Pelodiscus sinensis: one gene and its partners. The protein of the gene in region 1 interacts with the protein of each later gene in a pairwise test. Links are inferred from orthologs where the notes say so. Each region holds a gene or a part of one and is shown in the gene's direction. Other genes may lie near its edges. The genes, in order: EEIG1, SH3GL1 and SKAP1.

Region 1 (8,136 bases):
CATCTGCTGCCTGTGCTTCCCAGCCAGAGTGAGAAATGCAGCAAACTGTGCACTTTCCTCTTGATTCCTGATGAAGGAGAACAGCCAGCAGTGTCCCCATATAAATCTGGGAGGGGAGCTTCAGCCCCTCTGCCCTAAAGGGTGCCTGGGGCTATGTCTACACTACAATGATCTATCGGAAAAAGGTACGCAAATTTTCAGAAAAGGCTTTTCCAAAATTTGGCCCATCTACACTGGGCCAAATTTCAGAAAAGCCTCCTCTTTTGGAAGAGCTCTTCTTGCTCGTGGGAGGAGGAAGACAGGGTTTCCAAAAGAGAGCATCTGCTCTTTTGCAAAAAAAGCGGAAGAGCAGAAGCATTTCCTGGAGGCAGCACATTTTTTCCGGGATACCATAATGTAGATATAGCCTGGGAGGTGGGAGGCTCGGGGCTGGGGCAATCCTGGATGGGGAGGTCATGCCTTTTCTCTATGGTTTTATGGTTCTGTCTCTTTTCTGTATGGTTTTATGAGAAGCAATGCCATTCCAGGCACAGTCCATTTTTTTTGGCACAACCAAACCCTGACCTTCCTTTTAACTTATGAGAAGAGGCAGCTGTACACAGAATTTGGTGGTCCTACTTCTTACCATTTAGGAAGAGTTCTTGTACAAACAGACAAATAAACAGATGAACTTTCTCAAGTATATAATAGATGATATCTTCATGACCCTAGAGCTAACTAGTCAATTACATCTTCTCTCATCAAAGAGACCTTTAAAGATGTTAATTCATCAAGACTCAAATGTGCAGTAAAAATACAGAAATACCTAGATGGAGTTTCAGAATAATAAAGAATCTCTGTCCCACGAATTTAATCCCAGTTTCCTGACACTTCCTTTGTTAGAAAGACATATCTCTATTCCTGTGAATCCAACTACTGTTGTTATATTATACACTGTTCAGCAATTCTCTGGGCATTTTTCCAAGTAAATTTATTTTTAACATCAGGCACATTATTCAATTAATTATAAAGCAAACATTGAGGTTTTCAAGAGATGTTTCTGACAAGGCTGTAGAGTAAATATTCGTGAGAACAGCAGGGCTTAAAATCTCTGTACATTTTAACATCCAGTCCTTTTGCTATAAGCCCTGGAGAGAAGTCCTTAAAGGAGTTATTTATTAAAGCAAATCACAATAGATATCCCCAGTGTGCTACTAACGGGACAATTAATCATTTCTCTAGAGACAGAAGTGGGTACACCATGCCTCTGAAAATGGATCATAGAGAAAGTTTGCAGAAGGAGAGGTGATCTTGAAATGCTTCCAAAATTCTACAGGGACCCCCATACCCTTCACAGCCTGGCAGATTTAAAATATCCAGCAGATTTGACTCTTCACCACAGTATTTCTATTAAGGAATAGGAGGTGGAAAGGCTATGTAGATATTCCTCCTCACCCTGAATTTGGTCACATGCACTTTAAGCCTGAGCATGTGAGCAAGAATCAGCATGGCAAAGTGTTGCTCCTAATAAGACTTGAAGATATCAGAGTATCCTAATCAGACGTGAAGTTTCCATGTGCTTTTTCTGTCACTGCAAAAAGGTTTCATACTAGGCAGAAATAATGTAATAGTTCTTGTAATAGTCTGCAGTAGTGAATAAAGGCAGTGATTCTAGATGTTAAATGGGAGGAGTGGGAAATTGGCAATGGGAGCCAGGACTCCTGGGTTTTCATCCTGTCTCTGACAGACTTGCTATATGAGACTGGGCAGGTCACTTCCCTTCTGTGGGCCCCAGTTTCTCTCTCTGCAATATGGGTAACAGCCCTAATTCTAGAAGGCCCTTAAGCAATCCCTACCATCAAGTCCATAAGTCCCAACGATGATTGCAAGTAGTTTGGGATTGGGCCCCTCTTTGTTGGCTACATCTAGACTGGCATGATTTTCCAGAAATGCTTTTAACGGAAAAGTTTTCAGTTAAAAGCATTTGCGGAAAAGAGCGTCTAGATTGGCACGGACGCTTTTCTGCAAAAGCACTTTTTGCGGAAAAGCGTCCGTGCCAATCTAGACGCGCTTTTGTGCAAAAAAGCCCCGATCGCCATTTTCGCGATTGGGGCTTTTTTGCACAAAACAAATCTGAGCTGTCTATACTGGCCCTTTTGCACAAAAGCTTTGCGCAAAAGGGACTTTTGCCCAAATGGGAGCAGCATAGTATTTCCGCAAGAAGCACTGATTTCAGACAGTAGGAAGTCAGTGTTCTTGCGGAAATTCAAGCAGCCAGTGTAGACAGCTGGCGGAAAAACTTGCCAGTCTAGATGCAGTCGTTCTGTGTTTGTACTGATCTTAGCACAGTGGGACCCTTGGCAATGACCAGGTCACATGGGCATTACCATGATACAAGAAATAAATAGCAATATAGCTTATTTCCATGCTTAAAGCTAGGAATGTGCTTAAGGACCTTCCTGAATCCAGACTGATAATAATCTATGGGATCAGAGAGCTGTGTCAATTAAAGGCTTGAGGCTAGATATGAAGTTCTAGGGAAGGGCTAAATACAAGTGTTACTGGTATCACCAGTAAGTTATCACAAGCCTCCTGTTATTTGATGGCTTTTTTAAAGATCCACACCCAAATCCTCTCAGGCAGGAGTGGGCAAACTACAGCTTGCAGGCCATCTCCAGCCTGTCAAACCTTTTATTCTGTGCCTCAAGCTTCCCTCTGGGCAGTGCTGTGAGCTCTAGGCAGTGCTAAGGCCTTGTTCCAGGTGGCACTGAGAGCTACCTGGGGGCCAGTGTGGTGCACTCTGGACGGTGATGAGGGCTGACTACCCTGCGCACCCCTTCTACCTGAGACCCTGACTCTTCCGGAAATGTGGAGCCAGCCCCCTGCTTCTCCACACACACCTTGCCCAGGTGCTTATGGAGGCTTTCAGTGCCTCTGACTGAGCCTACACCCCTAACAGGAGCCCTCATCCCTTCCAACACTCCAGCCCGCAGTTTTGTGAGCACTCATGGCTCGCTAGTGATGTTAGATATTGATTATTCAATAGTCCCCAGGAGTGGGGGCGGTAGCCAGTGCACTCTGGCCCTACTCCCAGGGAGCACCCTGCCATCTGCGCTGCTGCCTGTCGCAGGGGATGCTCCGCCACTCCACATAGGGAGCAGCGCTGGGGAAGGGAGGTGGCTTCATGAAGCTGGTGCTGGTGGGGAGCTGGCTTTTAAGCCAATGTCACCCAAAGCAGCAGGTCTCACCTGTCGTCGTCCCCCCCCCCCACTACCTCTGCCGGAGGCAGCAAGAAGGGGGTCAGGCAGCTCTATGGAGCTGGCATGCATGGAGAGCCAACTTAAAAGTCCGCTCCTCACACACATCAACTCCTGCCTACCTCCTTCCACTCTGCTGCCTCTGACAGAGAGGTAACAGTGTGGCTACATCTAGACTGGCATGATTTTCCAGAAATGCTTTTAACGGAAAAGTTTTCCATTAAAAGCATTTTCGGAAAAGCGTGTCTAGATTGGCAGGACACTTTTCCGCAAAAGCACTTTTTGCGGAAAAGCGTCCGTGGCCGATCTAGACGCACTTTTCCGCAAAAAAGCCCCAATCACCATTTTCTCGATCGGGGCTTTTTTGTGGAAAACAAATCTCTGCTGTCTACACTGGCCGTTTTGCCCAAAAGTTTTTCAGAAAAAGACTTTTGCCCGAACGGGAGCAGCATAGTATTTCCGCAAAAACACTGACACTTACATGAGATCGTCAGTGCTTTTGCAGAAATTCAAGTGGCCAGTGTAGACAGCTGGCAAGTTTTTCCGGAAAAGCGGCTGATTTTCTGGAAAAACTGGCCAGTTTAGACACAATCTGTGTGTTGGGGTGGGGGAGGTGGCTCTGCGGAATGTGATATCTGTGGGGAGCCAGCTTGAAAGTCGCTTCCCACATGAACCGGCTCCACCTACCCGCTTCACCCTTTGTGCTGCTCATTCTCTGTTGAGGGTTGCCAGGTGTCCAGTTTTGAACTGAACAGCCCAGTATTTGAGATTTCTGTTCAGGAAAGAAACTGAGAAAATATAAATGTCCGGTATTTTCTAAATAAAATGTAATGTAGATTGTGGTGTCAAGTGTGTCTGGTATTTTTGTTGAAACCATCTGGCAACCCTCCCTCTATCAGAGGCAGCAGCGTTGGGGTGGGGGGGGGGGGAGGCAGCTCCATGGGATCTGGTGCTCATGGGGAGCCAACTGCACTAGCTCCTGCCCCCCCCCCCCCCCACTGCCTCTGATACAGAAGGGGGGCGGGGGCAGGGTATAGTGGCAGGGATTAACCAGCACGCCCGGGTTTATCAGTGAATTGTTACCAGCCCTGCCCCCAGCAGCGCCCCCGCCCAGACCGGCCCTCAGGCCGAACGTTTGCCCGCTCCCGCTCCACGGTGTTTAGGTGAAATCAGGGAGTTCGGCAGCAGCGCCTGAAGTCACGTGATGGGCTGAACTGCTCAGCGGCCCTGCAGAAATGAAAGGAACTTTCTGGCTCTCGGGGCTGCAGAGAAAAGCGAGAAAATGCGGCACGAGGGCCCCGCAGGTCCCCACCCCCCGGGCAAGCGATCAGCCCGGCACAGGGCGCGACGCAATCCCGCGCTGGCGAGGCGGGGGCAGCCTGCTGGAGGGTGACGCTGCTCTATTTCCGGCACGGTCCTGTCCTGTCCCGCCCCCACTACCTGTCAATCAGGTTCCCCCCCCCGTTCATCCTCCTTTTATCCCCCTTTCCCTGCCCCTCCCCCCGTCTATCTCCTCTTTTCCCCGCCCCTTTTCTCCCACCTCAATTAGGAGGAAGGGGGAGGGATGGGTTTTACCTAGACTGACAGTTACCTCCCTCAACCATCAAGCCCATATCTCGCCCCTCCCCCAGTCTTTCGGTGGCGGCCAATCCGAATCTAGAGCTACGAGTCCTTCTCCCCGCCCCTTGCGCTGCTGCCCAATCAGAGGACGGCGCTCTCCTCCCGGCCCTGTGGGAGGGGGGGGGGAATGTTGTCTAGGCTGTCGTATTCTCGAAGCGTGGCGGGCCCGCTGGGAACGGCTCCACTCTGCGCCGTGAGCGCGGCCGGCGCACGTAGCGTAGGAGCGTTCGCAGGGGCTGCGGTGCGGGCGGCCGCTCTGCGGGGAGCGGCAGGAGGTGAGCGAGGTCCCGGGGGTCGCGCCGTTCGCCTGCCCGGGGCGCTGCGCTCACGGTGCAGAGGCGCGAGCGGAACCGGGCTGGGGCAGTCCCGGGCGGGCGGGGCTGCGGCTGGATCCGGGCCCCTGGCGAGGAGACCGGTTGCACGGCGGAGGCGGGCAGAGACCGGGCTCAGCTCATCGCATGTGTGAGCGGATCCCCGCAGGCCTTTAGCGAGACTCGGGACAGGGCCCCCCAGCCCTCGTGGCACCGCTCTGGCGTCAGACCCCAAGCGGCTTGCAGCCCCCCCCATGTCTGCTGCCTCTGCTCCCACTTGGGTTAAATCGGCACAGGGGAGACAGCGGGTCCGACCCCAGGAACTTTGCTTAGGTGAAGACTCCCTCCGATATCCCCCCTGAGCCAGGGGGACGCTTAGAGCTAGTTGGGGGAGGGGCTGAGATAAGGGAAATTGCAAATTTCTAGGGGGGGATGGAGGGGGCCAAAACGTTGAAACTTCCCAAAGAACTCTGACTCCTTCCCCCCATTTCTCCAATATTTTTCAGTGGATTAACTGTTAGACTTGCTTTCCTTAAATTGCTTTGAGATCTATGGCTAAAAATCATTCTAGGACAGATCAGTATTAAACACTTATTGAAAAATAGAGTGCAATCCAGGGGCAGTGAAGATGGCAGTAGGCAGAAAAGGGAGGGGGGTGGAGGAATCTCTGAAGCAGGAATCTCTGGATTCCTTGTCTTTAGACAACAGTGAGGTGGGACAGAAATTACCCATCTAAATAGATTTTGGCAGAGGTGCCCAGGACTGACTGAAACTAATTTATTTACTTGTTTCCCTCCCTACTTGACATTAGCCACCTGTTGAAGCAGTAGCCACAGAGAGCGGTAAAGTTGTCACACAAGGGGAGGAGACTGAAACCAGGAAACCTTGACTGTGTGATCTGTAGACCTAGGATTTCTTCCGACAGACTAGTTCAGGATGACTTCTCATCAGAGATGGTTTCCGAAAGGGGCCTGATGGACACAGAGCACCACAGCCTTTAAACACAAGAACTGCAGTCAGGGGAGCTCCTGCGGGTCTGGAGCTTGGATTTTTCTCCCTCCTTTTCCTCCCTGGAGATGTTTGAGAAGTTTACTCTGTCCTCTTCCTCAGCACCTGAAGCCTTCCAGGGCAATGATTTCACAGCCAAATCAGACCACCAGAGAGAGAAGAGGATTGTGCATTTGATGCCGGCCTTCATTGCAATTGAACAGAAATTTACACGCTTGATTTTCCACTCCTGAAAGGGCTGCCTGTGCCTCTTTTTCTCTGTGTGCATTTTGAGAAGCTCCTCTCTGATCTTGTTCTGAGTTCCTGGACTTTTCTCAGAGCCTGCCCATGGCTTTCCTGATGAAGAAAAAGAAGTTTAAATTTCAGACCAGTTTCACCCTGGAGGAGCTGACTGCTGTCCCCTTTGTGAATGGTGTTCTGTTCTGCAAAATAAGGCTGCTGGATGGAGGGGACTTTGTTAGTTTGTCTTCCAGGTAAGAGGTTCTGTATAATTCTCTTCTCACTACCCTTATACTCCTCCTTTCCCTGTTTAACTGTGTTGGACTGAATTATTTAGTATATTGCTAACACTTGCCTGCCCCTTCCACGTGATTTTTAATAATCCTGCTGCATGCCATTTCTCTTCTTTCCCTATCTTGGCAGAGCCCACAGACTGGTTATTGTTGGGTAGGTATGTGTGTGGCCTTTGATAAGAACTGAATTCAATTCAGCTATTTGGGGGTGATGTTTCTGAAAGATATTGGGGTCTCTCGATGAACACTTTGATCACAAATCTCTCCCCCCTCCAAAAGAGAGAAGCTCTCACATAGTATGTAGGAAAGAACTAACCAAACTGTACTTTTGCTTTAACTCAGTAGAAAATTGCATCTAAACCAATCAACTTTTTTCTTCTTCTGCGTTACTGTCTTTGGTAAGGGTTGAAATAGCTTGCTTTGCATTGCAAATCGCCTTGCAAAGGAAAACAGCAGCCCTGTAGCTAAAGTTGTTAGTTTCAAAACCATGGATTAATCTTCTCGAATAAATGCTGTTGATCCACCTGTTTGCCATAACTTTTTACGGACCCAAGCACTGCAGCAATAGTGTAATTTGTAACATTTGGACCACTCTTGTAGAATTCATTATTAAGTCCCCTTCCCCATTGTGGGTTGGCTTAGCGTCTCTCTGCCTGCTTGGGGGTTCTATGTCCCCACTCTTGCTAATCAAAATCTGTTTTGTTGCCAACTATTCACCTTGATTATCACTTCCTGTCTTGCTGCTTCTGAATGTTTAGGGCAGCCTTTAGTGGTTTCCAAAATCAGATTTTATATAAACCCTAGAGTAACTAACAACATATTGGGCTGTTAGAACTGCTTGGTTACAGGGAAAACTGAGTCTCCAAAAGTGCTATACGTGCTGAGAAGGGTGGGAGTTGCTCTTCTCCAGGAGAGAGGGTTTTTACTGGTTTTTCTATTTTGCAAACCTGTGTATGTGTGTCTGAGCAACCCTGCAGCAGAGTGCCCAGGCCTGATTTTGAAGAAGTGCTGAGCTCCTCTAATCCTGATGAAGGTTGTGAGAGCTATGGTATCTCTGGAAAAGCAGACCCTAAGTGAATTCCTCCTAGGAAAAAGACTGTCAAAATAACTTTTCCTTGCAATTTTCTTCCATGTGTTTGGTAGAAGTAACTGGTCTAAGGAATTTGAACTGTGAGAGCAGGGAAGGAATTTAACCCTTTTACTTCCTAGATCAGTTCATTCATTTGGAAACTGCCTGGTGGACTTGGTCTCGCTGGATTTCCAGCTTCTTCGTGTTGTCCTAGAAGCAGGTCGCAGGAGTGCCAATTTGATGCCACTGCCAGCCTTGTGTGGGTTGGCACTGTGGGGTTTTCTTTGGCTGTTCATGGTTCAGGAGTTTCCTCAGTGTATTCAGGTGCCTGCAGAGAAATCATTTGTAATTTAAACCAAATGCATATTTTACTGATTTGG
Region 2 (7,994 bases), on another chromosome or scaffold:
GAATAGCTCTGATTTTCAACACCAAACACTGTTAATGACACTGAATGCTTGTTCAATTTCCACGCCAAACACTGTTAATGACACTGAATTGCTTGTTTGTTTCAGATTGTGGGCTGGTGCTGATGATAGAAATGATTCTACCCATGTTGCAGAGTAAATCTTGAACAAACCTAATGTTCTCATGAGGGATGTGAACAGGTAAACCCGGAGCAGCCCCTCTGTCAGCGGCTTGCTGCAGGCAGAGGGCCTCTCTAGCTCTGCAGCAGTTAGGAGCTGACCTTCCACTTAGGGAGGGGGGGCAGGGAGGGAGGCCAAACCCCTCTTCTGCATGCACAGCTGCTGGCTCCTTCTGCAGGCCCCCCCACACATGGAGGGGCTGGCAGTGGCAGCTGGGAGCTTCACACAGCAGCGGGGGGCGGGGGAAAGGGGGAGGGGGGCCAAGAACAGGAGCCACCCTTCCCCCTCACCCTCCTGCACACACAAGGCTGCTGAGGGCACTGCCCATGGGGCTGGGGGGCAAAAGCGGTATCCCACTTAATCAGTTAACTGATTCACTGGGATTTTACATCCCTAGTTCTGATTTATAACATGAAAAACCAGAACATGTCTGGTGTCCCAAAGAAATTTCCTGGGACACCAGGAAATCATATGGAATAATGTGATTGTGTTGGTAAAACTGGTCACTTTAAGTAACTGCAACCTTGAAAACACTTATGCACGTGCTTTACTTTACTAATGTGACTACAGCCACTCCCCAACTTACAAACACACCGACTTACAACCAACCATCCGTACTTACAACCCATCTCCCATTAACCCCATTATAATATTTTCAAGTTGAGAACCATGTACGTCAAGTTTTTCGAACAGCACGTTTAAGGGTATTTCCGACTTACGATCAAATTGAGTTACAACCAGGTGTTCGCAACGTAACCTGTTTGTAAGTCGGGGACTGCCTGTAGTCCCATCTGTGGCTATCACTATGAACAGGGCTCGACAAACTGTGGCAAGAGCTACTCGCCAGCCCCGCACCGCGCATGCGCCTGACTGGCACTGCGCATGTGCGCAAAGCTGGTGAATGGGGTGCACGGAGCGACTGGCTAAAATCTGCTCGCCACGGGCAAGTAGAAACAGCAGTTTATCGAGTCCTGACTATGAAGTCAAAAGCTTCAGAGGGGTAGCGGAGTTAGTCTGTAAGTGGAAAAACTTAAAAAAACAATGAATAGTCTAGCAGCCCCTTAAAGTCTAACAGAACATGTAGATGGTATCATGAGCTTTTGTGGGGACAACCCACTTCCTAAGATGAAGTGGGTTGTATGAAGTCAGTGGGGCTGCTCACAATGCATGAGGTTAAGCCGGGAGGCAGGGCGCAATCGGCACTGGGAGCCTCTGATTGTGTGTGATGCTTTAGGGAGGAGGGGAAGCCCTGTACGTAATCCTGAGCGCTGTCCCAGTCATTTTGGAGCCACACCCGGACTCACTTGTGCTTCGCCGGGACCATGCGCGGGACAGGCAGCGCTCTGGGATCTGCATGTGCCCGGGTCAGTCCCATTCTCCACTGGCTGATTCGCTCCCCAACCCCTCCTGGTCAACCAGTTTTCCCCCACTTCTCCCAATCTTGCCTAGCCAGCCCCGCTGCCCCTGCCAGCCCTACTTCCTGCAGCCAATTCTCCTCTCCTCCTCCTGATCTCCCCCGATCAGCCCCACAACCCCGACGACACCTCAAATCCCCCGGCCAGCCCTGCTTCCCGCCTGCCAATTCCCCCACTCAATCTCCCCTGGCCAGCCCCGCTGCCCCCGACCCACTCTCCTCCTAGCCAGCCCTGCTTCCCACCGGCTGCTCCCTCCCCCATTCCGGCCAGCCCCACCCGCCTCCTGGCCAGTCCCCCGTCCCCATCTGAGATCAAGTGTGTCTGGTATTTTTTTTAGCTCATCTGGTAACCCTACCATGGATGCTCTTGCGCAAAAGCACATGGCAGTGTGAACACGCTCTTGCGCAAGAAGCCTGCAGTGTAGACATAGTCTAACTGTAAGAGCCATGTGCTCCCTCTGCATCCAATCAAAGTGCTGCTACGGCTCAATCGGCACAGCCCACAAATTGTAGGTACGCAAGCACACTGAGCAAAACTACACTATCCTGGTAGATTACAACCCACTGACAAGTGTAATCTGAGGAAGTGGGTCTGGCCCACGAAAGCTCATCATCTAATAAACCATCTTGTTAGTCTTTAAAGTGCTACATTGTCTTGCATTTTGCTTGACAAGTGTAGGTTGCCTGCCTATCACTGTTAAAGATGGTATCAAATCAGAGTCTTTGAACATGAGACCCTTCATTCTCAGAGCTCAGTCCCATAAACAAGTAGCCTCCATCCCTACCATCCTGAAAAGATTTATGGAATTGCTTAACCTCATGCATTGTGAGCAGCCCCACTGACTTCATACAACCCACTTCATCTTAGGAAGTGGGTTGTCCCCACAAAAGCTCATGATACCATCTACATGTTCTGTTAGACTTTAAGGGGCTGCTAGACTATTCTATGTGAATGAAGTTAAGTTCCAAGGCTTCCCTGTGTATTTGACTTGCAGAATTGGCCCAAACCAGTTTGGTGACTTTGAGATCCAAAGTCAAGTGGATCTAAAGTGGGGGAGGTCTAGGTTGGATATTAGGAAAAATTATTTCACTGTGACTAGGAGGATGGTGAAGCACTGGGATGGGTTACTTAGGGAAGGGGTGGAATCTCCATCCCTGGAGGTTTTTCAGTCTCCACTTGACAAAGCCCTGGCTGGATGATTTAGTTGGGGTTGTTCCTGCTTCGGGTAGGAGGCTGGACTTGATGACCTCCTGAGGTCTCTTCCAACCTAGGATTCTATGATTCTATGACCCATTAATGAGTGCCCAGGCAAGTTAAAATGTTCCCCAACAGATTTCTGTGTGTTAACTTTTTGGATATCTGATTTGTCCATTTGTCCATTAATTCTTTCCCACGGAGCAGTGGTTTCCAACCTTTTTACATCCAAGATCACTTTTTAAATGTCAGGGCAAGCCAAGATCTATCCCATCCCTTCCCCAAGACTCCACCCCATCCTTGGGGCCCTGCCCTCTCCATTCCCCTCCTCTCCATCATTTGCCGTCCCTGGCCCTTACTCACTCTCACTGGCTTGAGACAGGAGGTGCGGGCTCTGGGGTGGGAAGGAGTGATTTGGTTGTGGGAAGGCGTGAGAGGTGCAAGCTCTGGGAGGCAATTTGGATGCAAGAGGAGGAGGAGAAGGGGATGCTGGCTCAGGGAGGGAGCTCCAGGCTGGAGAGTGTTGGGGTCAGGTAGAGGGTTAGGGTGCTGAGCAAGCCACAGGCTTGTGGATGTGGGGGTGCAGGAGTTTGGGTTGGGGTGTATGAGGGGCTCAGGGCAGGGGGGTTGGGTGTATGATGAGCTAAATTACAGGCTAACTTGACTACCCTCTGAAGCTTTATCACTATTATATTCACTACTAAGCCACAGCATTAATATAATTTCCATTGTTAATAGCTATACTTTTTGATCTCTCTTATCACCACTATTTATCGCTACGATAGTTTTCACCATGGCAAGTCTGATGGCTATACTTTTCACTACTGCCAAGATTCCAAAGGTGTTATCACCATTAATTTTCTCATTCATCTGCAGAAATGAGTTGTCCCCACGAACACTCATGATACCAGCTACGTGTTTTGTTAATCTTTAAGGTGCTGCAAGACGGCCGTTTTTTATAATAGCGATACTGATACATTTCACCATCACATGTGTACTCAGAAACAAAATACAGGACTATGTAGCACTTTAAAGACTAACAAGATAGTTTATTAGATGATGAGCTTTTGTGGGCCAGACCCACTTCCTCAGATCAAATAATGGAAGAAAATATATATGGTTGTGACTATTTTCTTCCATTATTTGATCTGAGGAAGTGGGTCTGGCCCACGAAAGCTCATCACCTAATAAACCATCTTGTTAGTCTTTAAAGTGCTACATAGTCCTGTATTTTGTTTCAGCTACACCAGACTAACACGGCTACATTTCTATCACTATGTGTACTCAGGAGTGTGCGTAACACCCCACCGACCCAACCAGTCCTGTGGGTTTTTTGGGGGGGGGGGTCTGTGTGTGTGTGTGTGTCTGTCTCTCTATGTGTGTGTGTGTGTCTGTCTCTCACTTTTTTTTAAATTGTATCCTTTGGTATATATGGTTGTGACTATTTTCTTCCTCTATTTGATCTGAGGAAGTGGGTCTGGCCCACGAAAGCTCATCACCTAATAAACCATCTTGTTAGTCTTTAAAGTGCTACATAGTCCTGCACTTTGTCTCTCTATGGTACTCCTCCCCGCAGGGGGCCTTGTAGTAGCACATCACCTGCAGGGTGACTCTCTGGCCGCGGCTGAACTTTTCTATGGTGCAACCGGAAGGGACACTCTTTCCAAGCGTCACGCGGCCATCCCTATGGTGGCGGCTGAGCCCAAGGGCGGCTCTTGCTCCCCCGGGCCGGCAGGGGGCGGAGTGATTCCTGGCGCGGTGGGGGTGGGGCAAGGTGAAGGGGGCGGGGCGTCTCGCTGAGGGGCGGGCCGGCTTCCGGCGCCATGTAACGTCCGGAGAGCAGCGGGCGGGGGAGGCGGCGCCGCCGCGCGGGGAGTCGGTCCGTGTCCGTCCGTCTGTCTGTGGAGCCGGGCCGCGGTGGCGGGCTCGGGTCTGTCTGTCTGTCCTGGGTTCGGGTTCGGGCTCGGGTCCGTCTGTCTGTCCGCTCCCCTCAGGCTCGGGTCTGTCTGTCTGTCCTGGGTTCGGGCCCGTCTGTCTGTCCGCTCCCCTCAGGCTCGGGTCCGTCTGTCTGTCCGCTCCCCTCAGGCTCGGGTCCGTCTGTCTGTCCGCTCCCCTCAGGCTCGGGTCCGTCTGTCAGTCCCGGGCTCAGGTCTGTCTGTCCCCCCCCCCCCCCCCGGGGTCTGCTCTGTCCGTCCCTGGGTCCCCTCCCTCTCCCCCCCCCCCCCCCCGTGGGCTCGGGCTGCCCGAGTGTCGGTCGGTGCAGGGCTGATCCGCGCCCGGCCCCCGGGCTGGGAGAGGAGGCGGCATGTCTGTGGCGGGGCTGAAGAAGCAGTTCTACAAAGCGAGCCAGGTGAGCTCCCCCCCCCCACACACACACACACTCCGCGCGAGCACCCAGCTGAGGAGCCCTTGGCTTGTGGGGCAAAGGTTGGCCACGCGTGAGTCTCAGCGATCTCGGCGCTCAGACTCTTTCTGATCCCAGAGCGGGGCGGCTATTGCCATGGCTCCGTGCTCAGGGGTTGGCAGGCCCGCAGTGGCTCCTCAGCAGCCGCCTTTATCATTGCCCCTCTGTCTCCCCCGTTGGACATTTGCACTCATGCTGATGGCGGGGAAACAGTGCTCTGTCATTAGGGTGATCCTCTATCCCAAAGGGAAAACAGAGCACCTCCCAAGTTGCCCACCTGAACTCTCACCCCACAAGGCTGTTGCTGGAACTTTGTCTCCCACCCTCCCCATCCACATCTCTGCTATCCCCTCTACCCCTTCCCCCCCCCACACACACATTCCTCCTCCCCCCACCTCACTTTTTTTTTGTCCTGTTTGCTCCTGGCCACTGATCAAGTTAGCAAGAGTAAATGTGACAAGTGCACCTTTTTTTTTTTTAACGCACAATCCAGGACAGGGCTTAAAAAACGGAACTGTACCAGCCAAATTGGGATATATGATTGCCCTAACTTTAATTCCCGACCTCTCTATTCAGATTTTTCTGCAGTTGTCTCCGTGTATGCGTGTCCATAAAGTGCTGATCCCTGCTTGAAGTAGATCCTTCCTTCCTTCCGCGTTGACTCCGTCTGCAAATGATTTGACATGGCATTGTTTTACCTCCATTTATATTTAAGGCTGGTGAGAATGGGTTGATGTGGAAAGAAAGATGGCTCAAAATTGCAGCTGTGGTGGAGGCGTTTGTTACAGCAAAGGGAGATATTTCTAAATTAAAAGCTTCAGATTGGCTGTGTCACTGCCAACTGACTATAAAGGGTATCATTTTCTGGGAAAATATCTAGGCTAATGCCTTAAGTCTGCCGGTGCTGAATGTCTCTACTTTTCACACGACAGATCTAGCCTTTCTGGTGCATACTGAGTTACTTTTTGAGTAATGAGGTCTATTTTGCATTTCGGTGAAAATGATGCAGGCTCACTGTAGTGTTCTCTTTGTAAACAAAGATGTGCACAGGGAAGCAGCAGGTAAACAGATGGCTGCTTATTATTCTTGTATCAATTTCTTCTTCCCCCTTCAATTCTTACTTGACTTATATCCACTGCTCCTTGTAACTTCCATCTGTCTTGTCTCTTTGCTAGGAATTCATTTGTTCTGGAAGTACAGAGAAGGGAAAAAATGGGGGGGAAAAATCACCATGGGATCCAGAAGTCTGACTCAGAAATTAAATGGCTTTTGTTTTAAAAAAAGATGAGCTCCATCAAATTAGTGACTTGCTGCAAATTCAGTTGTCATTAAATCATCACAGAGATCTGTGTGTGGAAGGAAATAAGGACATAGTTGCATTTGCCACGCAACTGTAAGAGGAATGCTGTAGTGTTTCATTGTTTTCAAGGGGGGAGGAATGGTGGATGAAACTTGTTCATTGCCACATTCTACAGTATTGGTGTCCTTGAGTTCCTCCCCATCAGCAAAAAGAGACAAGAAATACAACACTAAGAAGACAGAGTATGTGTCTAGTTCTTTTCTTGACATATATAAGATGACACACATAGATCCTCTTTAAATTGCAGATTAAATCCACAAATAAAGCAATAAGATAGCAAAGGTATCTATTTCTTAGGTTACTCTGTGCTCTTTAGGTTTTTATACCATCCCCATTACTATCTGTTCTGAATTCAGGAAGATAATGAGGAAGTTAGGTCTTGTTACATGAAGTGTCCTCTTAATTCCTACCATATATACACTTCTAAAACTCAGATGTGTCACGTATTGCTTAGTGGAAATGCTAGCTCAGAAAAAGCAGTCTTCCACTTGGGCCAGTAAGCAGAGAGGTGTGTGTGTTCTAGGGTGATGGCCTACTAGGGCTTCTGTATATTTCCTTGCTGTAAGTGCACTTTTCAAAGGTGTATTACAAGTAGCCGGTGATAATTTTCAATTGTCTTGAACTGTTTTGTAATGGACAGTTAATTGTGAATGAACTGTAGTAGCTTTCTGGTCAGCAAGCACAACTTAAGGTTATTGGAGCAGAAAACTCTAAAAGGCATAATTACAAAATGTGTCGTAATTCTCTGCATGCTGAATTACAATTTTTAAAAAAAGTCACAAATCTGAAAAGATGGGAGGGAAAAACACATTGGAGAGGGAAGACTGTGAAAGGTACCAAGTGGGAAATTCTGGCCTAGAAGGTGCAGTTGTAGCTAGGAATAGCAAGCCCCTTGTTATACCTGGGGTTGAGTAAAGAGCAGCAGCAAGCTGCAAGATAACCTCAGGAAGCTCCCTCTTCCTTGATAGTAGTTGGTATCATGAAGCAGAAGAGATTTTGTGGCATGTGAATGTGATGAAATCTGAGAGAGAGCGAGCGAGAGAGAGCAAATGGAAGCCTTGACATTACAGGAGGAAAATCTGTCCAGTGTACACATTTTTAATGACCTATTACCGAAATAGTTATTAAACTCCCTAGATGGGACAAGTAAAAGCTGTGATCCTGAGTTCAAAGTGTGTGTGTTCATGCTTTCATCAGAAAGGGACCCTACCCAGAAATCAGTGATAGGAGTCAAATTCTCTAAATAAATTTAAGGGAAGCTTGGGATTAATTCCCTGCTTCTCATGAAATTCACACACTGGTCTCTCCCTTGTTCTCCTAGCTTCTGCTAACAATCCCTTGTCAGAGAGGACTTATCCTTGTGGTTATTAATGCTTCTGAAGTGATAAGCTTGTCACTGGAATGTACCAGATATCAACAAAACTTTCTATGCAAAGAGCACTCT
Region 3 (7,499 bases), on another chromosome or scaffold:
TTTGTAGCTATTTACAGGATTGGCGCTTATATCAAATATTATTTATAGTTCAGTTAACCCCCCCCCCCCCAACATCATAACTTTAAAAATTGGTTTGGTTTCCCTTCGTGGAGGCCCCTTGATGCAGATAAAATACTAAAATGCATCCACACACGCACCTGCAGCGGAACGAAACCCCGCAGGAAACAACCTCCCAGCCAGGCATCTTAGGTTCTTCCTTTATCTGAGTTCTGCCACCCTTACACACACCACATCCTTTCCCTCTTATTGTGTACGTGGCCTCAGAAAGCAGCACATCGCCGCCAGTCACGGCACGGGCACGTGACCATTCACGTACGGTGGGTGCTTAACGGGCACCTCCCATTGCCAGAACCTCAGAGCCTCTCACATCTATGGTACAGTCATCCTCACAACCGTCCCCCGCCGGCACCGGGTGCTAGGTGGAGACCTGAAAAATGGAGTAACTTTGGCGAATCTCTGTTACAACCCCAGGCCAGTTTGCCCCTCTGAAGCCATCACCCTAACCACTAGGCTGCTGTTCCTCTGAGGCAATACACCCTGTGGCAAAGCTCTGACCGTGCCCCACGGGTCCGGCACTTCTCGGGAGTTATCCTTTGCCTCAGAGGCGCACTGTGACCCTCCACAAAGCCTCTGGTCCTTTGCTAGAGGCCGAGGGTCGCAGCCTTCCGAGCTATCCTCTTCATAGGCAAGTCCAAGCATAGGGGTGAAGCCCCTCTGAAGTCCTGGTCTCCGCCTCTGGGGCAGACTCTCTAGTGGTGTGGGAAGGGTTGTGGGGAACCCAGGCCCACCCAGTAGTCCAGGCTCCAGCCCAGTGACCCCAAGGCTGTGGCAGCAGGCAGCGTTTCAGTCCTGCACCCTTGTTCACTTCCCCTGATGCTCCCCACGGGACCTTCTCCCTGGTACCTGAGCGAGTCCCTTCTGCTCCTGCACAGCGCACGTCCCTCCTCGCAGACCTCAGCTCTCCGGCACCACCCCTCTTCCTCTGTGCCCCTGGCTTTTCTCCTCCCCCTGCCGTGCCTGAGGGGAAGCCTTTTAACCTAGCCCCAGCAGGCCTTAATAGGCTGCAGGTGCCCTGATTAGCTGGCTGCTTCAGGCAAGTTCTTAATTGGCCCCAGGTGCCTGTCTGCCTTGATTACGTGGCCAGTTCAGTCAGGGAACTGGAAACTATTTACCCCGTTCCCTGTATATTTGCCCTCCACCTCTTCTCTTCTCTTCTCTTCTCTTCTCTTCTCTTCTCTTCTCTTCCAGGTTTTTGCCTTTCCAACCCTGTGATCACGTGGCTACATTCATTGCTGGCAGGGGCACACCCAGTTGCACTTCGGGAGGCTGGCGCCCGCGTAATGCAGATGAACGCGGCTCAAACGGTTAACTTCGTTGCCACCTTTAAGGCTATTTCCTGTGTCAGGAGAAGACGTGGCCAAAGTCCCGGGGCAGCAGTAAAAAGGTAGCTGAGTAACAGTGGCGAGCTCATGGAGACGCCTATTATCGGGGGGACATACTAATAAATACTCACAGCGCCGCGGGCAGAACTTGGGCCGAAGTTCACAGGCCGCTGACCAATGCAGAGCTGAAACAGCTCTGGCTTGCCTGAGTGATGCTCTCGTGAAACCAGCGACTAGCGCGAGACGAACGGGGTTAGGAATTAGCGCTAATAAGCAGAGCCCCGCGCGGGTACAAAAGGTTTTAGCCGCATCTGTGATCTGCAAGAGGGAGCCAAAACAACCAGGTGCAATTGTTACCCCTATGCCACTTAACTCTGGGGGGTGAAGCTACCTAGCACGAGGAAGGAGTTCTCAGGGATACCAATAGAATTGCCAGCCCCTGGGCAAGGTGGGGGGCGCGAGGGGGATCTCTGGACCCCCAGAAGGGGCGTGGCTGAGGGTTAGCCTTCCCCACCCAGACCTTCAGCATTGCCCGGCCTACACCATCTGAGGCTCTGATGGTGATTTAAAGGGGCAAGGACTCCAGCCGTTGCCGCACCTGCAGCTCTTTTAAATTGCCGGGCCCCTGGGCAGCTGCTCCCTTTGCTCCTTCCCCCCCCCCCCGTCAGTCGCACTGGGGGTTCCCAGCTGTGTCATCAGCCCTAAAGGCCATAGAAAGCTAGTCATGTGACACTACAGCCAACTCTCACGGGGGTGGGGGCAGTGTTCACAAGCTGTCACTGCGGCACTGAACTCTCAGCTCCTTGTCCTAGTTAACACATCTAGAGTTGGCTTAGTATGGGGCTGGCTAGATGTCTGTCTGACTGGGGGCTGTGGGGTGAGTGGGCTGCCAATGCAGCCCCCGCGAGGAGGCCAGCAAGTCCCTCTGGCTCAGGGCTGGCTCCGGGGGTCCTGAGCCCTGTCCCCATTCCACACACCAGATCCACAGCTCCCATTGGCCAGGAACTGCAACCAATAGGAGCTGCAGTGGCGGCCCCTGCAGCTGGGGACAGGGAACTCCTGCTGCTTCCTGGGAGCCACCTGAAGTAAGTGTTGCTGGAGCGTGCACCCCTCATCCCCTCCTGCACCCAATCCATTGCTCCAGCTCCTGCCTGGGCCCAAAACCCCTCTTTACTGACCCCACCCCAGAGCATCTCCAGCCCAAAGCCTGTACCCCCTCCTATAGCCCAACCCCCTGTTTCAGGCGGGAGCCCCCTCCCACATTCTGGATCCCTTGGCCCCACCCCTCAGCCCAGAGCCCCCTCCTGCACCCCAAACCCCTTTTTTCTGGCTGCATCCAGAGCATGCACTCCCAGCCCAGAGCCTGTACCCCACCACAACCCCCTGCCCCAGGCTGGAGCCCCCTCCCAGAACCCCTCAGCCCCACCCTCCCAGCATGGCCCCCTTTTGCATCCTGCACCCCTCATTTTCTGTCCCCATCCTGGAGCCTGCCCCCCAAGCCAGAACCTCCCACTGTCTCGCACCTCAACATCCAGCCCCAGCCCAGTGAAAATGAGCGTGAGAGACGAGGGGGGAGCGAGCAACGGGTGGGGGAGGGAGGAGTGAGTGGGGGCAGGACTCAGAGACGAGGCAGAAGCTTGAGGCAGGGGGTGGAGCAGGCACAGGGTAAAGGATGCTCAGTTTTCTGCAATTAGAAAGTTGCCAGCCCTACCTGGGAATAATCTGCATATTGCTGGAGAGGGTGTGGGGCCAGAGGGGGGGTCTGGGTGAAGGAGGGGGTTATGATCTGGGGCAGGCAAATGGGGTGCAGGCTCATGGAGGTGCAGGAGAGGATTCTGGCCTGGGAGAGGGGCATGGGACAGGGATGTAAAATCTCATTTAATCTGTTCCCTGGTTACACGTTCTGTTTAACCGGTTAACCCCGTAAACAGGGGCAGGCAGGGGGATTGTGAGAGATCGTGCTGGGGCGGGGGCAGTAGGCGAAGCCTCCCCTCTCCCAGGCACTCAGAGCAGAGAGCCGCAGGGAGCAGCCAGCTGCTTAAAGCGGCGCGGGACTGCTTTGTGCCTGAGGGTTCCCGGGGGGGAGGGGCGGTGGCCCGGGGGCCACTCCTGGTCTAAGGGACCATCGATCACAAAGGCGACCTTGCCTGGGGGGTAAGATAGCCCGGCCGGCCCAAGAAGACAGTCTCTGACTCCATGGTAAGAGGGTTCTGGTGCTCGAGGAGTTCACAACCCATCGGGGGACCGACAGACTTGCAGGGCCCCTGGGCCAGGGGTGTGTGCGTGGGGGGGGCTCCTCACTCCCAGAAGGGGTGGAAAGGGCAGGACTGGGGCAGCCAGCTGTCAGTGCTTCCCAGCACGTGCCACGCTGTCCCCCCCACCTCCCAGCCAGCTCTGATAGCTGCCTAGAGCCTTTGAATCTCCGGGGCCCGGGGCAACTATCCCCTTTGCCCCTCTCCCCCACCAACAGGCCTGCAAGGGACACTTGGTGGGTGAAATCTGGTTCTCTCTTGGGGCAAGCCCCAGGCCTAGCCAAGTCCCTGGCCGCAAGGCAGGATTCAGCTGCCTCCCTCTGCAGGAGGCCGGGACGGAGGCCGGTGCCCGGCGGTGGGGCAGAACTCAACTCCCTGCCCCGGCGAGCCCTGCAGATGCAGGAGGTGAAGGGGCAGAGCGCCCCCTCCCTGCCCAGCGTTCGGCGGCCACAGGGGGGCAGGTGCAGGAAGCAGCCGGGCCAATCGCCCGGGGGCACCTGCTTTTCCAGGGCCCTGGCCCAGGGAGGGCTGGGGCCTCCGGCAGGTGTCTGAGGGCTGCTATCCTGGGGTAGGTGAAACAGGAAACACCTGCAGGAGCCTCTCCCTCTGCAGAGCAGGCCCCACCCTTCTGGCTTCCTCTCTGTCTGGAGCAGGCAGCCTCTCGCCCGCAGGGACAGCAGCAGCCGCCGCCACTGGAGGCTCTCGCTGGGGGCACGTCCCGTCTGGCTTCCCAATGCAGATGCCCACAGCCCCCATCCCTGAGGCGGTCCAGCAGCTCCTTGAAGGTAACCCCCGGCGCCCTGTCTCTGCTCCCGGGGGGGTGGGCTGAGGCTGCGTTTTAAGCGGCTCCAGGAGGAGAAGGTCTGCGTGCCCCACAACCCGGAGCAGGGGCTGTTCCTTCTGGGGGGGATCCAGGCCCCTTCGCTGCGTAGGCCTCTCCCCCTTCCGGCACTGGGTGCTGGGCTTGGTGCTTGTGGGGTTATTTTGGCACTCCTTGGAATGATTCTGTGCCAGGAAGGGGGCCTAGGGGCTTGCACCCGGATGCGAGTTCCGTTCCTACCCCTGCCACCGAGCATCCGGGTGACCTTGGGCGAGTCACGTCACTGACCGGTGCCTCAGTTTCCCCTTTCTAACACGAGGCTCGTGACCCTGACCACCTCTGAAAAGTCATTTGAGCTCTACTGGGCCGCAAAATGCCACCTGGAAGGTGGGTGTTACTGCTGTGTAGTGGGGGGGGGGGGAGATGTCTAGCTTTGTAAGGAAGGGCGTTGGCGGGGTATGGCTGTTCTGATGTGGGGGGGCTTCAAAGCATCCCGCAGACCAAGCGAGGCTGCGACTTTGGCCGGTCACGATGTGACGGCATCTCCTGCTTTGCAGCGCGAGGGTGCACCAAGCACGTTCGGCCTGCTGGCCGCCATTCCCACGTCAGTAACAATTCGAAGGGACGCGGCCCCCTTCCAGAAGACTAGACATGGCACTAGCTGTCCCTTCTGCCGCTGGCAAGGCAGGTTGTGCTCAACCCCCCACTGACAGGCCTACCTGGGGATCCAGCGAGCAGCCCTGACCGTCTCCGGCGCATGACTGCGGCCGCTTGGCGCGCGTGGATGTTTCTAAACCCGTTTCCCGTCATTTCTTCACCAAACTCCTCGTCTCAAAAGCAGCGAGGAGGTTGAGCAGTGACAATACCGGCCCGTTCTGTCTGGTGATCTCAAAGCACCCTATGAACATGAGCCGGCTCGTTCCTCGCAGACCCTTACAAATTTTATTGATCCTGTCTTATTGATACTGTACTCTTGGGCGCTGGGAAAATTTCCCGCATCTGGGGGTGACTTGCTCAGCACCAGGGATGCATGTATGTTGCTTTCCAGCTCAGCTATGCCTAGAACCTCTTATTCCCAGCACTCTGATGCCTGAGCACTTAACTTGACCTTGGAGGATTTTTTGCGTGTGTGGAGGAGTTGTTTCCTATCTTACACCCGCTCCTCAGTTCCCCTGTGTATGGTTGAACAATCCCTTTTGGCTGTTTCTCTCCCCTGTGGTGCTGTCACAGACCCACACACAGGGAAAGTTACTGTATGTAAATTTGACACTGTCCCTGGGTTCTTCTGCCACTCTGATGACAGTGCATTTCCAGCAAAACGGGAGGTGCTCTGTACCCCTCCATTCCAGCAGTAACTAGGGGTGTTTCCCTTTCTCCCCTTTTGGGGTGTGCGAAGCTTTCAGCACTGAGACCTACACAGACAGAGAGGGGGAGAGCTGGCTCATCAAAGCTGACTTTCAAATGCTTTGTGGTCCCCGTCCCCCCTGCTACAGATGTGCATTTCCTGTTCTTTATTTTTAATCATGGGGCTGCAGTGAAGTTCAACCCCCCACTTTGCATTTTTGATGTGCAGCATTTTCCTGTTCAGCCCTGACACTTTTGTAAACAACTCATTTCTGCACCTGCCGCCTCCCGTGCACGCAGATTATTTTCTTGTTAGCTGACTGTTTTTAATTGAAGTCTTCAGATCTCCTTCTAAAGCGGAGCCTTTGTTTGCTGACAAGTAGAGCAGGCCGTGAATGGAGATTAATTGCGTGTCACATACCTCGGTATCAAACTTGCCTCGTCTTACCAAGCTGTGCGGGGGGCCTGGGCGCGAGGAGGGGTTCCAGCCACGCTGCTTCGGTGCTGCATCAGGAGAGCTGATTGAAAACGAAGATGGGGAATAAGACACCAAGAATGTATTGTCAGGGTCGTCCACTTCCTGACAGTGAAACTGGGTCCTTTATGCTCCTGCATAGCTCAGGGACAGGATTGCCAGATAGTGTCACAAAAAATACCAAACATGGTGGGATGCAAATTGGGTGAGCAAAAAAAAAAAAAAAAAACAGGGACCAAAGTCTGACACAAACAGAAAATACCGAAAATTTTACACATCTGGTATTTTCTGGTTTTTTTACTGGACAGAAGATGCAATTACCAGACTGTCCGGGCCAATACCGGGCACCTTGCAACCCTATTCAGAGATGTCTCAGTGCTATAGAGCAGTGTTTCTCAATCTTTTGTTATAAAGTATCCCTTTTTCAAAAAAAAAGTACCCCTGATACCTACAGTTTTCAGACATAATTTTTTTTTCTACCATTGAAACACATTTATTTAAAGAACTTAATCGTAGCCGGGCAGGCGATAAAATTTCGGGGTGTAAAAAGTACAAAAATAATAACACGCTGTCAAACTTAAAACAAAAATTCAGTTTTCTCCAAATTTCAGTTGCGCTCCCAACTTCTCTCAAGTACCCCTGAAGGTACTCTTACCACTGGTTGGAAAACACTGCTCTAGATAACACAATAAGCATAGCTAGTGAATAGTTTCAGAGGGAGAGCCGTGTTAGCCTGTAACGGGAAAAACTTAAAAAACAACAAATAGTCTTGCAGCACCTTAGAGACTAACAAACACCGTGTATGGGAGCATGAGTTTGCATGGGCACAACCCACTTCTTCGGATGAATGGAGTATAAGGGGTCGAGTTTTCAAATAAATAGGCACAGAAAGGGGATAGGGAGGAAGCGGAGGAAAAAGAAGAAGAAAAATGGGGAAAGACATTGTCAATTAGTGCTAAATGAAGCTGATAAAGCGGGTACCAAGCATCCTTCAGTTCCCTTTGCTTGGTTTTTTATGTCATTAGGATGTGGAATGTAGCGGGCCATCCAGCCAGTGTCTTTGTTCAGACTTCCATTGCGGGAATCAAACTTGTAAATGAAAGGAAGTTCTGTAGCTTCCCTTATCGAGCTGGCTTTTGTAATTGGTTTTGCAATAATACGGTGACTTTGAGATCCATTAACGAGTGCCCAGGCAGGCTAATGAA

What was found.
Region 2: the proteins of EEIG1 (region 1) and SH3GL1 interact in binary tests that used the Homo sapiens proteins (3 or more experiments, as listed by UniProt). The two-hybrid records come from large-scale screens. The link is inferred for Pelodiscus sinensis from reciprocal best matches to the Homo sapiens genes EEIG1 and SH3GL1.
Region 3: the proteins of EEIG1 (region 1) and SKAP1 interact in binary tests that used the Homo sapiens proteins (3 or more experiments, as listed by UniProt). The two-hybrid records come from large-scale screens. The link is inferred for Pelodiscus sinensis from reciprocal best matches to the Homo sapiens genes EEIG1 and SKAP1.

What each region holds. Positions count from the first base shown.
Region 1 is NC_134732.1:10,485,248-10,493,383, forward strand, and holds the start of EEIG1 (early estrogen-induced gene 1 protein), read left to right. Parts: upstream 1-4,972; 5' UTR 4,973-5,131; intron 5,132-5,978; 5' UTR 5,979-6,502; coding exon 6,503-6,648; intron 6,649-8,136. UniProt on the Homo sapiens protein: Key component of TNFSF11/RANKL- and TNF-induced osteoclastogenesis pathways, thereby mediates bone resorption in pathological bone loss conditions.
Region 2 is NC_134729.1:22,494,156-22,502,149, reverse strand, and holds the start of SH3GL1 (endophilin-A2), read left to right. Parts: upstream 1-4,580; 5' UTR 4,581-4,780; exon of another isoform or gene 4,781-4,811; intron 4,812-4,838; 5' UTR 4,839-5,091; coding exon 5,092-5,136; intron 5,137-7,994. UniProt on the Homo sapiens protein: Implicated in endocytosis. May recruit other proteins to membranes with high curvature.
Region 3 is NC_134739.1:14,029,449-14,036,947, reverse strand, and holds the start of SKAP1 (src kinase-associated phosphoprotein 1), read left to right. Parts: upstream 1-4,231; 5' UTR 4,232-4,388; coding exon 4,389-4,440; intron 4,441-7,499. UniProt on the Homo sapiens protein: Positively regulates T-cell receptor signaling by enhancing the MAP kinase pathway. Required for optimal conjugation between T-cells and antigen-presenting cells by promoting the clustering of integrin ITGAL on the surface of T-cells.